Saccharomyces cerevisiae S288C: one gene and its partners. The gene in region 2 interacts genetically with the main gene of each other region. Each region holds a gene or a part of one and is shown on either strand. Other genes may lie near its edges. The genes, in order: SAP1, ATG23 and YNL092W.

Region 1 (5,229 bases), on a different chromosome or scaffold from region 2:
TTTCTCCCAAGATTTTACTGCCTCACGTTGACCCACCACAATTTCAAAGACTAAACACTGAAAATGGCTCGTTAATTGCCCTGTCGAAAAATACTATATCGAACTTCATAGAACTGTATCCTATCGATCTGAGTACTGAACGCACTGCAGGCAGTAGCAGTTCACAGATGACAAAGTGGTTCGTACTGATGGATTACAAGGAAAAGTACGATATTGACGATCAAGGATGGTGTTATAGCTGGAATTTCAATAACTCTAGGTGGAAATCGAAAAATGGCTTGGTGAGAAGAAGGGTCTGGGTAAGACTACCTACGACCAGTCATGGATTAGATTAGTAATAGTTTACGCTAATATTAAATTGTTTAACAAACTAAGTAGTCAAAAAAAAGAAAAAAAAAAAAAAAAAAAAGAAAAGGTGACATTATGCAGAACATATTTTATCGATCCGCTTATGTGCACACAGTTTGTCCAGCTAGGCTAGAATATTATTTATTATTACCATTATTATTATATTATTATTATTATTATCATCATCATGAACCTGATGATCCGAATTGTGAAGCCCACTTTTCGTACTTCACTAATCCGTCCTGGGATACAGAGGGCTTGATATACACTAAACTGTTCTTAAAATCCACAAGGCCTATGGGTCTTATCATCTCCCTCTCTGTTTCTAATAACTTATCACCCAGATCTCGTAGTGGGCCCATGGCAGCATCCTTCGCTAAAGACGTTATATCACTTCCTGAATAGCCCTCAGTAATCTTTACCAGTTCATCAAAATCTGATTCGGTTAACGTGTGCTTTTGATGGGAAAGAAGCTTCTTAAATTGAACGTGTCTGGTCTGGTCCTCTGGTAATGGGATATATTGTCTTCTCACAAATCTTCTCCTTGCAGCCTCATCAATAGACCATGGTAAGTTTGTCGCGGCAAGTACCAGTACCCTTGTATCATCTTCGTCGCCATTGGTGTCAGAATTGTTAGTGTTACTTTTGTTTGAACCAGCCGCTGCGCTGGACAAGGATGACCACTGAACAAGAAATTCATTCTTTATCCTTCGGCTTGACTCATTTTCATTTTCGTTATTCCTACTACCCATGATAGAGTCAATTTCATCAACAAATATTATAGAAGGTGACAATTTTTTGGCAATTGCAAATAGTGCCCTCACTAATTTTTCACTTTCACCCAAGTATTTAGATGTCAAACTGGAAGCACTAATAGAGAAAAAGGTGGAGTGCGACTCTGTAGCTACAGCTCTCGCTAGCATTGTTTTACCTGTACCTGGTGGTCCAAATAAGAGCATCCCCCTGACTGGTTCACGTAACCCCCTGAATAAGTCTGGTCTCAAAAACGGATAGACAACTGCTTCCTTCAAAGAATATTTTGCACTTTCTAAACCAGCAATATCATCCCAATGAACTTCATCTCCGTGCACTACGATTTCGGCAAAAATTTGCTTTGCAGCTTGCCTATCTACACCTTGTAAACTATCAATAATTTCATCTTCTAAAATCTCCCTCAGGACTTTCTTGTCTATTTCAGGCTCTTCTCTTTGCTCATTTAGGGAAGTGGCATGTTCAGTGGCATCTTCTGTTCCAACATCTTCTATTTTTGGAGAACCGATTTTTTTTTGTGCTGGTATTTTTCGATTCGTTTTACTCATAGACGTGGTTTGATTTTTCGATGGCTTCTTATTCTGGGATGCACCATGCGAGTATGGTTTTGAGTTACTTACAGGTCTGGAAGGATGGCTACTCGTTTTCTTCGAACTGGAATTTGGGACTTTCGCCGTTTTGGATTTCAAAATGGGGTGACTCTTCTTCGTAGTGTTTAATGCGGGGTTACTCGCAACCTTTTTGCTGTTCAGAACTCTCTTAGCAGCCATTGCAGCCGTTTTGGGTTTTTGAATTACTGAATTTGGAACAGTCAGAGAAGAGGTCGGAGACGATGCATTGGATTTGATGATTGGTTTTGTATTACTTTTTGATCTTGTAATAAATGTTGGCGTTGATTTAGTGATAAGAGTGGGCGTTGATTTGGTACCCTTTAAGTATGGTACGTGATTATTCTTCATTAATTTTGATATTTGAGGATTCCTAATCTTTGATGAATCCATAGTAGTAGAAGTTTCTAAACTATGTGGCTTTAGAGCGCCAGTGCTGGACGCTCTATCGACATTTAATAAAGGAGGTGGAGGTAATGAAGGAAGAGCAGGGGCGGTAGTCGGCAGGGACTGTATGCATGATCCGGGAACATTTTCTGAAGAACTTACACTCTTATTACTGGACGTAGAAGAAGTAACAGACAAGTCAGACATTTGCTGTTGAATTGCTTCTAACGTTTTTATACGTCGTCTTTCCTCTTTTTCTTCTTCTTCTTCTTCTACGTCGACTTCGGAGAAATTATCATAGTAATCGGACACATCAAACTCGAAACCATCACTTTCTTCTTCATCAAAAACGTTGTGTCCTTTTAAAATGCCGACATCGTGATCATCCTCGTCATTAGTCAAATCTATCAATATTGGCTCTGAGATATATTTATCTGAGTACAGTTCAGTTTCCTTCTTAAGTGGAGGATCATTGTGCTCAATAGGGTTCTTGTGCTGTCTGCTTGCATTGTTGGATAAAGGCTTAGAAGGTACAAAATTTACTCTAATGTTCTCCGCATCTTCTCCGCGTTTTATCGATGTGCTGTTACCATATGATGATAGTGAGGGGTTGGAGTATGCGGTTTTATAGCCGCATGCATTTCTATTTCTTAATGTTTTCATCATTCTTCCGGGAACCATTTGGAATACAGGAGGTGGTTCAGTAGACCTTGTGAAAGATGAGCTATGATTAGTGTATGTTTTGGATGACGGCATATCATTCCTGGGAGCAGGCTCTTCTCGGACCAATTTTTTGACTCTTTTCAAATGCATAACGCTCTTGTGGTACAATTCTCGAATACCGTTCTGTAAACTAACTTCATCTTTCGTGTATGATTGAGTATTTGGGTAGTTATGCTCTATCAATGTCTGTTTGAATAGTACATCAGTGGTAAGCGCTTTCCATCCTTGCAATGCTTCTTTATATCGTTTTTTCTCTTCTAGGTTCAAGTAATATATTGTCTCATTGGCAATTCTACTGTAAAGTTCTGTAAAGTCGGTTAACGGTTGTTGAGGTCTTCTCCGTATCTTGGTTAATCTCGTTAAAATATGATGGCTTCTTTGTGAATCCATAGTGTCACAGTGCGATATAATCAATCCTGGTAAAACCGCACGAGTGAAAGGGAAAGAAAAATTGCGTTTGTTAGCTGCAATAAATGTAAAAAGACTATATTAAAAAAAGAACTGCAGCCTTTATTATTACCAATATATTTGATAAGAAAGTATATCGGACGCGTATTGTAGTTCTTGGGGAGCCGGTTGCTGTTGCTTCAGCCTCTTATGACCGTGAATCAAGAATTTTTATTATTCTTGATTTCAATTTTCTCCGCGAATCTCGGCTAAGATGCTTGGGTTGCCAGTGTTAATTCCATATATATACTGAATAATAGAAAATAAGTTAAAACATAAGTGCTGAAGACTTGAAAGGTTGGTGTGAGAAAACCCGTATGCCTGTGATATGTCTAGAATACATAGGGTTTTTTTTCTTCGCTTTGTAATTGATTGCGCTATATATGAAAAATATACATGAGGCGTTATTAACTTGCTGAGCTTATCTGGCCACAGTATGTTTTTTGTGTTCCTTCTCCTGCTCACCTAGGATTAGCTCTTCAAAAACTCTAGCTTCTTCAGCTTCTTCTGGTGACCTTCTAGCACTGGCAAACTTGTGGGCAATAAACAGCATTGCTTTTGCCTTTGCAATACGTTCCTTGGAAGGGACCTTTTTATCGTTTAGAATCTTATTGCAAACGTCTTTTAGTTTTCTTTCCAGTTCAAATTTCGACATAGCCCACATGACACCAAGTGCCTTACCAGCCATTGTGGACTCAAATTTGGCACGTTCATATTGGTCTAGTTCGTCAGTATTGACTTCACTCATTTTTTCCATGGCTTTTTGAGCTTCTAAGCCTGTAGACAATAAATTGTATGCTGATTTAACAGATCTAGCATTGTCGCGTGTACCAGTGAATATTTTAGAAATTCCGTAAGTCTTCTTGGACATGATAAAATTATTCGCTTTTGTCTTGTAAACCCTGGCCAATAAATACAATAACTCTAGACCAAAACTTTCTAATTTCAAATCCTCGATTTCTTGATCTAGTTTTCGCGTAAATTCCTCCAAGTTATTGGACTTCACAGCAATTAAGTACCTAGAGATTTTTTCGTTCAGTTTTTCTGCCAACTCGTCGACTTGTTTCATCATATCTTCCCGTCTTTTTTTCTCCATTTCCATTAGCTTCTCTCTTTGCTCCTTCGATAATTTATCTTTTTTCAAAGATTCAGCTTTATTAGTGTCATGCTTAACCATTCCACCATCAGTGCTCTCATCTGCTTTTTCGGTTTCAGTGGCTGCTGTACCCTCCTCATCTTCCTTTCCAAACATTTCTGTTGCCTCGTTTAGCTCTTTGAACAAAGAAAATTCTCCAATCCAATCTTTGAAGCCATCACCACCGAATATTGCTGTAAAGTATTCAGAAGCATCTTCAAATCCTTGCTGAGGAACAGCATCCTCCTTACCAAACTGGTCATACTTGGAACGAAGCCCTGGATCACTTAAGACTTGGTAGGCCTCGCCTACGGCTTGAAACTTTGCTTGAGCATCTGGGTCATCAGGATGCTTGTCCGGATGTGTTTCCATAGCCTTTCTACGATAGGCCTTTTTGATTTCAGTGGGCGTGGCCTCAGGCTTGATGCCCAAAATATCATAATACTCCGTCTCCTTTACCATATTCCCTCTTTTCTTTTCCTTTGAGTTAATACGTCTTAATTACGTGAAGCCGACAATTATCTAAGTTGCTCTTTTTACAGGCGTAAACCATTGGAAAGCAATGGTTACGGCTAACCGCGGATCCGACTATATCACCACTTTAACACTTTATCGTCCCTGTTTGTCCTTGGCAGTGTACATTCGCCATCAAATTTTCCGTTCTCCGCCCCATCTTGGTATGACGGGCGAAAACACCGCAGTGACGTTCCCAGGGTCTAAAACAATCCATAGGAGAACCACTTCGATTCACTGTCTTACTTCTCAAATACGAAATTTTTTGGATTAATCATCATTGTTTATTTCTGAAAC
Region 2 (3,651 bases):
CCTTATCAGCATCGATAGTACCGATAGCAGCACCACATAACAGTTGCTTGGTGGTGGCAGATTTAGAAGCCAATGGATAGTTCTGATTTTTCATTAAATCAGTTCTGGAAAGCATAGAAACTAAGTTACCATTGTCGTCAACAATCAATAGCTTACCCTTTTTAATCTTCTTTAAAATTTCATTACCTTCAGACAATGTAATACCTTGTGCACCGGTGACAGGGTTTTTGGTCATAACATCTTGAACAAGCAAAGAGTTGTCTTCAACGAACTGAATATCACGAGAAGTGACGATACCCATCAATTTTCCGTTTCTTTTACCATCTTCTGTAACGGGGAAACCGGAAAATCCAAATCTTTCCTTCATACTCTTAGCTTCACCCACAGTAGTAGTTGGGGAAATCACTATAGGGTTGTTAATAAACCCATTTTCATAGTTCTTGACTCTTCTGACCATGTCAGCTTGGTCCTCTGGGGTACAGTTGTGGTGAATAAAACCGATACCACCCAACAAAGCCATGAAGATGGCCATTTCTGATTCTGTCACGGTGTCCATTGGAGAGGAAACGAATGGGGTGTTCAAAGTGATATTCCTTGTCAACTTAGTTTGTAGGCTAACTTCAGAAGATGGGAAATCAACCAGACCTGGCAAAACCAAAAAGTCGTTATAAGTCAACCCACCTCTGGTCTTGGAGTCCATCAACTCCTGGACAGACAAACCATCTAGTCTTGGTAAGCTCTTGGCGAATTCCAAGGCAGTCTTGTAGTCTCTAACGGCGGCCATTGCTTTTACTACTTTCGGAGTTATTAATTGCACTGATAATATTTACTGCTGTTAACCTGTCGATGACTTCTTTTCCTTAGAATAAAAGTGAGACAGATGAGATGACGTGCTTTTCTGCGAGTTTAGAAAGTCTTTCTAAGTTAAGTTATATAGAAGCAAGAAAGAAAAGAAATAGAGTAAAAAAGAGAAAGTTCCCAGTACACTAGGTGAAAATGCACAAGCCCACGAAACTGGAGTAAACCTCCAAGGGTCCCAACACTCAAAAATCTTGTTGGATCTCGGAAGGGCAAATTATTCAACTATTTATACCTTTCTATTTCTTCTTTTTTTTTTTTTTTTTTTCAGTGAAAAATTTTTCATTTTTCGGAAAAAGAAACGTGTGCGGCTTTGAAGGCTAATATTTATGTAATTAACCAGAGTTAGAAATGAACACAATAGTGGTTAAAGAAGCCACTGGGTCACTGGAAAAAAGTACATCTTGTTAGCCATCAAGTAACAGGTTTATGTATTGGGAATTATGGTTTTTCAAGTTCCCTTGTCTCTTTTTTCCCGATATCCTAGCCCTAGGACAACTTGTAGGGTATCAGCGCATATGTTCAAAAAATTTAAGGGCGTAAGCTCTGGCGTTTAGGTGCGCAATTAACAAAAGGTATAGATAGTCTTTTTATAGTGTAAATCATATACAAATAATAGAACACAGAGAACGTCTGTATATATCTATTGGAGAACCGGCTAAGGAATGGAAAAGTGAAGGATAGAGTACGTTTTAGTTCAAGTGATTATTTTCGTTTTCTTGTTCCACATTTTAACCTCGTTGTTCTATAAGGTAACAAAATAAAGTGAAGAAGTAAATATGGAACTGAATCAGGTTTTAGAAAAAAAGGAGCAGATTCTGCAATACTTAGGCACTCTGGTCGGGCTTCACGAAAAAGCGTTGTCTGATGTAAATTCGGCTTCCCAGGTGACAAGCATCCGGAAGGATATCACTATTTGCTTAAACGATCTATGCAGAATTAATGATCTCTTAGTATCCCATGATGGTCTATTGAAAAGAGAAATTGGGTCCTTACTTCGAGACAAACAAGAGCTACTAGAACTGAACGAAAGAGAGCAGCTTCTTTGGAAAGAGCGGAAGTCGTGGCATATTAAGCAAGAAACCGATGCTGCGCCGGCGGACTATGTTATCGATAAGGACGCCATAATTACCATTTCATCGCACCACCGGACATCACTAAACAAATATATCGAGTCAGTGGGGGCAGAAAATACAATACTATCCAATACGGATGATTCGGATGCAATGATCGAGGAAGTACAGAACGCTGAATCTTCTGCGGATCAAATGATACGTAATTACAAACTGTTACAATTATCTCATAAGCAAGCTAAATCAGAAATAATAAGGCTGGAAACTTTATTAAGAGACTTCAAAAAGGACAATAAATTCATTGAAGAGGAGTTAAAAAGGCAATCTGGACGGATACGTTCCGAAATGGGTAATATTGATTTTCATTTGTCCAAGATAGAGGAATCTAAGCATCAATTAATGAAAAGAATAGGATTCGAGTCGCCCCTGACACAGGAAAAATCACTATCAGAAAAGATATTCAATTTAAGGCTGTCCAGCGCGGATGAAGATTACAATGAGAGACAAACTATCAACATGAAAAATTTTGTTCATATGAAGGATCTCATAGAACTGAAAATTGAAGATCTACAAGAGCAACTAATGAGAAATAAAAATGAGTCTTCTACAGTACTAACGCAACGTGAATTATGGCTAGATTGTCAAAAAAAAGTAGGAGATTTGGAAAGCAAATTAATAACCAAACTTCGGAGCAGCAGCAACTCCAAAATACCTCCAAATGAAATGTCAGAAATGATCAATTCTACAATACAGTACCTAAATAACCTTCTTGACTCTTCTGATGAAAAGCTCACGACAACTTTAATATCAAACGAAAGGGACGTACTTTCGAAAGCTTGTGAAGAACTCCATAGCGAAAGTACCACTGCACAAGATGGGTCAAGCGCACTACCTTCTAAACCAATTGATATACACAAAAGCCATAAAGGGTCGAACGCGAGTTCAAATTTAAAACAGCCCTCGACTCCCTCATTCTTGGTTGCTAGCAAATCGCCACCAAAGATTGGCATTTCTGAAAGTGTAGTAAACGCTAATAAAAATGATGCCATATCAAAAAAAGTTGAATGAAATGCAAATAGCTAGAGTAGCCATGAGGATAATGTAAATTTAAACATTGTATGCCCACGTAATAGTCAAACTCTTTCACGTCAAATTGAAAAAAAATGTTCTTTTTGCTGAAATAATGAAAAATAATGAAAAATAATGTTGCTATTAAATTCAATATAAATGTATACACCAATATATATGCAGGTATAATTCCTAACACTTTTACTTCAAGATCATGATCTAGGCTTTCTTTTTTTTGGGATAAATGGGCTAGATGAAGCATTCCGTCTCGAACTGTTGCGTGTGCCTGTGGGCCCACTACCAGGTCCTTTGAATGCTGAAGATTGTGGTTGCGGATGGGGGTTTAAATCATATGGATCTTCTGCCTCAGCAGGATAGCTGTCTTGCGGATGGGCGGGCAGAGTTTCATGCAGTTCGCCTGTACCCACAGGAGCCGTTGAGTATTGATTCGCATTACCCACATGTTGAGAGAGGGTCCTATTTGCTCCATTCTGTCCATTTTGATTGGGTTCACCGTAATCGGAAGCAGTCAGGATCCTCGAAGAACCACCGGATAAAACACTATTTGAACTTCTGTGTTTTGTAATAGCAGCAGGTACCTGCGTCTGCTTTGCTTGCGAAACTTGTGGATCGTCGTATATACTAGCGCTGA
Region 3 (3,739 bases), on a different chromosome or scaffold from region 2:
CTTATTATGAGTCAAGTTCGCCGTACGTTCTTTCTTATCATCGTCTGTATTTATTGGTTCCACGATGACATCGCCATTGGGCGCTCTTTTTATTACTCTTGAAGTTGGGTAATCCGATTCTGTATGATACAACTCTGGCTCCATTCGAGGTACTAGCTGTGTAGGATTTATACTTTGTTCAGGATCAGAGTTGCCATTTTTCTTGTTGTGTTGCTTGGATTTGTTCTTTCTTCTCTTACTCTTGGAGTTTGGGGGCATCTTTGGCAATTTCCCCAATTTTTCACTTATAAAGATTGCTTATTGTTGAAAGTAATGGCCTTAAGCGATAAATGCACCTGGAAACTGAAACGATAAAGGAGCTTATAAAGTGAATCAATTATGACAAATCACTCTTCTTCTAGCTTTGATATATAGTTCAAATTGAGGGCTTTATGTATTACTGGATCTAGGCTGATAACCAGTACTGTCAATATGGTAAACAGAACATAGCGAGAGGGAGCAAAAAGAATTTTCCGCGCGGGTAACATTCTGAGTTCTCTAAAACGGCTGTGTCAGCAACTTCTATATAGTGCAATTAGATTATTGTGTAAGCTTATGATTCATTGGTGGGGTTCGACTTCAGGATCCAATAGTGGCACATGTATCCAGGCATGGCGCAACTTTCTGGACCCGCGTAGCGGCCATACCCACAAAGTATTCCTGACTCTCTCCGTATTAATTCAAAGTCCAGATGATTTGTGGCAATGCTTATGATATCATCGCTAGAAAGCTCTAAACCCATCAGTGGTGTATAGTCATTGATTTTATCTTGAAACCCAGAGTAAGGGTTAACTTCGTAGGTAGTTTCAACCCCATGGTCATTTTCAAAATGATAAAGCAATGGGCCGAAATTGCACCAGATTCCGCCTGGCTTCAAGACGTGGCCAATAGTATCCAAATAATCCAAGATGTTGGATCCCGTATCTATAAAAAAGTTTGTTACTACAACGTCTTTGGAGTTTTCAGCTTTTGCTCTACTTAGTTGCATCCTTCGCGAAAATGTATAATGTGACGAGATTTTTGTGCCTTGATTACGACCATAACAATCAACAAACGAGCCAGCACATATCGACATGGACCCCATACCTTTATTTGAAGACCACGCTTCTATGTCCGGCACCTTAATGGGAGACAACTGATCTTCAATTTTTTTCCAGTGGGAGAAACAGTGTATGAAGGGATAGATAATAATTTGGTTTTGGAGTAATCCTGCATTCAACATGTATTGAGATACAAGCAGCATGTGATATGAAAATTCGTTACCTTCACAATTATAGCCCATTCTGCTAAGATCCACGAGAAGGCGTCCTGTGCCGCAACCCGGTATCAAAATGTCGGCTTTTGGGGGTGATAGGGTCTTCAAAAACGGTACAAGCCTCGAATTTAAGCAATTACGTTCAGAAATGGCCTCTGCGGACCACTCCCTATAAACTTGCGTAAGTAAAGAGCATGTTTTACTCATATCTAAATCGTTTGGTTGTACGATTTCTCCTGGCTCAAAACTTATTGATTGCAGGGCATATTCGGCGACACTTCTAAAGAACTTGCCATTTTCTATAATTGCGGCTTTCAGATTAGCTAAATATTTTGTATAGTTTGGTACCATGTCTTTTTGACGATCTGAGATCGATGCCCATTTTTTCACTCTCAAATTGTAGATTTCCTTTAGGGCATACTCTTCATACTTAAGAAATGATATGATCACTCGAGCTACAGCTTTATTCTCCCTTTGATTATCAAATTCATTCTCGTCCATAGTCAAAATTACTGATATGTGTTCACCTCTAATTAATTTTCAGATCCTCACCAATTTTTGCCGCTGGTACACCAAAATAACAGTAGCTGATTTTGTATAAATTACAAACTATAGTACGTAAAGGCCTTGTGATTCTCGATCTGGCGATGAAAATTCCCGCCCCTAAAAAAAGTGTATTTCTTGCGGCTAATGGAAGTGAAACAAAAAAGTGCTTGTTTTGCAAAAGTAATTGAAAATTTCCAGTACTATTCTTCCAGCTGTTGTTACGAACTGTTCTTTTCAATGGCAAGCTTCGCTAAGACGCTGAATATGCCGCGTTTGCTGTTGTTTTGCTTGCAGTTTAGCAGTTACAACCCCCAGTCTCCCTAGTACTTTCTACAGTCGTTGATTCGAGATCGATTCGTTGATTATCGGTAATTGTGCGATCATGAGTAGAGCTTTGTCGTGTATTTTGTTCAGGACATGGTACTTTTTCGCCTAATGTTTGAAATATCTGGTAAATATTCTCACCAGTCTTAGCGCTTGCTTCGAAATATAAGAGGTTCTCTCTTTCACAGAGATTTTGTACAGCTGGTGCTTTCATAGCCCTATTTTCATTCTCGTCATCATTATTCAGCAAATCCATTTTGTTCCCCACCAAGGCAATAACGATATCATGTCCTACCTTCTCGTGTAGTTCTTCGACCCAGTTTTGAGCCTTATAAAAAGACCCTTCATTAGTAACATCAAAAACTACCAAAGCAGCTTGAGCATTTCTGTAGTACATAGGCGCTAAAGGAGCAAATCTCTCCTGGCCTGCCGTATCCCATATTTCAAATTTAATGACCTTGCCATCCCTTGTAATTCTCTTTGTTAAAAATGCGGCACCAATAGTAGGTTCTTTGCTCTCTTTAAAATCGTCAGATACAAACCTGAGGACTATTGAGGACTTCCCGACAGCAGATTCTCCGAGTAAGACTACTTTGATAGTTAATGTTGGAATAGCTGCTGTATGTTTATCCATTCTACTTAACTTCGATGCTGAAAAAATGTAATAAATAATTTGAATCTAACTCTATTTGGTCAATATACGTGCATTCAGAAGGCCTTTCCCGACTTATAATATGACAATATTTAATAAATTCTACGGATTTATTTTATTTACATGGGAAGAGGCTTTGCAGTTTAAGGACCCCTTCCGCCCCGGAAATTGACATTTTAGGGTATGGTTGGTCACCAAGGCGTACGCGATAATCAGTTGGAATGGAAAGATAAACTGAGTTTAGGGTATTTTGTAAGAGTGTATTTGATCGGCAACCGAAGATTTTCTTTACTCTTGACTTCATAAAATTTACATATTTACATTTAGCCCTTCTATAACCGTTTTTTTAATTTCCCGATCTGATGAAAAGGATGCAACATCACTCTAAAACGTTGAAAATGGCTCCAATTCATAAGGTCACTTTAGTGTATACAATTTTTAAACTCCCTCCCGATGTATATAAATAACAGTGTATTTAGTTTGAATACTTCTCCCTAATTCTGCGAATACTGTCTTCCAAACTTAATGCCGGATCCGAAAAGAACATCAATGTGGTGTCTTGATTGCTCAATTTTTGAATTGAGTCCATTACTCTTCTCTTCCATTCATCTGCTTTTTTATCCATGAAAGCACCATACATGCCATAGTCATTTTGTGAGGATGGTACATAGTAAGTATTAGCGTCTAAGTTAGGTAACTGTCTGTTCGGCAACGGTGGTGGGGCAACTCTTTTAGCATTGTTCTCATCTTTATTACGGCGTGACATTCTTATACTTTCGGTTTGCTCTTCTGTCAACGATGGCTTTTGAGTGGAAGGAATGGGAGGTGGTGGTGGTCTTCTCCTGGTACGTACGGTAGACTTGGTCATTTGCATGGGCCGTTGTTGTAATTCGATGATATTGTTCACTTCATTCATAACTTCT

What was found.
Region 1: mutations in ATG23 (region 2) and SAP1 together harm fitness more than expected from each alone (negative genetic interaction), as found in Saccharomyces cerevisiae (one large-scale study listed by BioGRID).
Region 3: mutations in ATG23 (region 2) and YNL092W together harm fitness more than expected from each alone (negative genetic interaction), as found in Saccharomyces cerevisiae (one large-scale study listed by BioGRID).

What each region holds. Positions count from the first base shown.
Region 1 is NC_001137.3:243,277-248,505, forward strand, and holds SAP1 (putative AAA family ATPase SAP1), read right to left. Parts: upstream 3,228-5,229; coding exon 534-3,227; downstream 1-533. Other genes in the region: SPO73 (Spo73p), read left to right, coding at 1-335; CAJ1 (Caj1p), read right to left, coding at 3,706-4,881.
Region 2 is NC_001144.5:999,690-1,003,340, reverse strand, and holds ATG23 (Atg23p), read left to right. Parts: upstream 1-1,637; coding exon 1,638-2,999; downstream 3,000-3,651. Other genes in the region: IMP dehydrogenase IMD3, read right to left, coding at 1-784; DNA/RNA helicase SEN1, read right to left, coding at 3,212-3,651. UniProt on the Saccharomyces cerevisiae protein: Required for cytoplasm to vacuole transport (Cvt) vesicle formation and efficient autophagy. Plays a role in ATG protein retrieval from the pre-autophagosomal structure (PAS) and is especially required for autophagy-dependent cycling of ATG9.
Region 3 is NC_001146.8:448,927-452,665, reverse strand, and holds YNL092W (S-adenosylmethionine-dependent methyltransferase), read right to left. Parts: upstream 1,796-3,739; coding exon 593-1,795; downstream 1-592. Other genes in the region: NST1 (Nst1p), read right to left, coding at 1-258; Rab family GTPase YPT53, read right to left, coding at 2,136-2,798; phosphatidate phosphatase APP1, read right to left, coding at 3,292-3,739.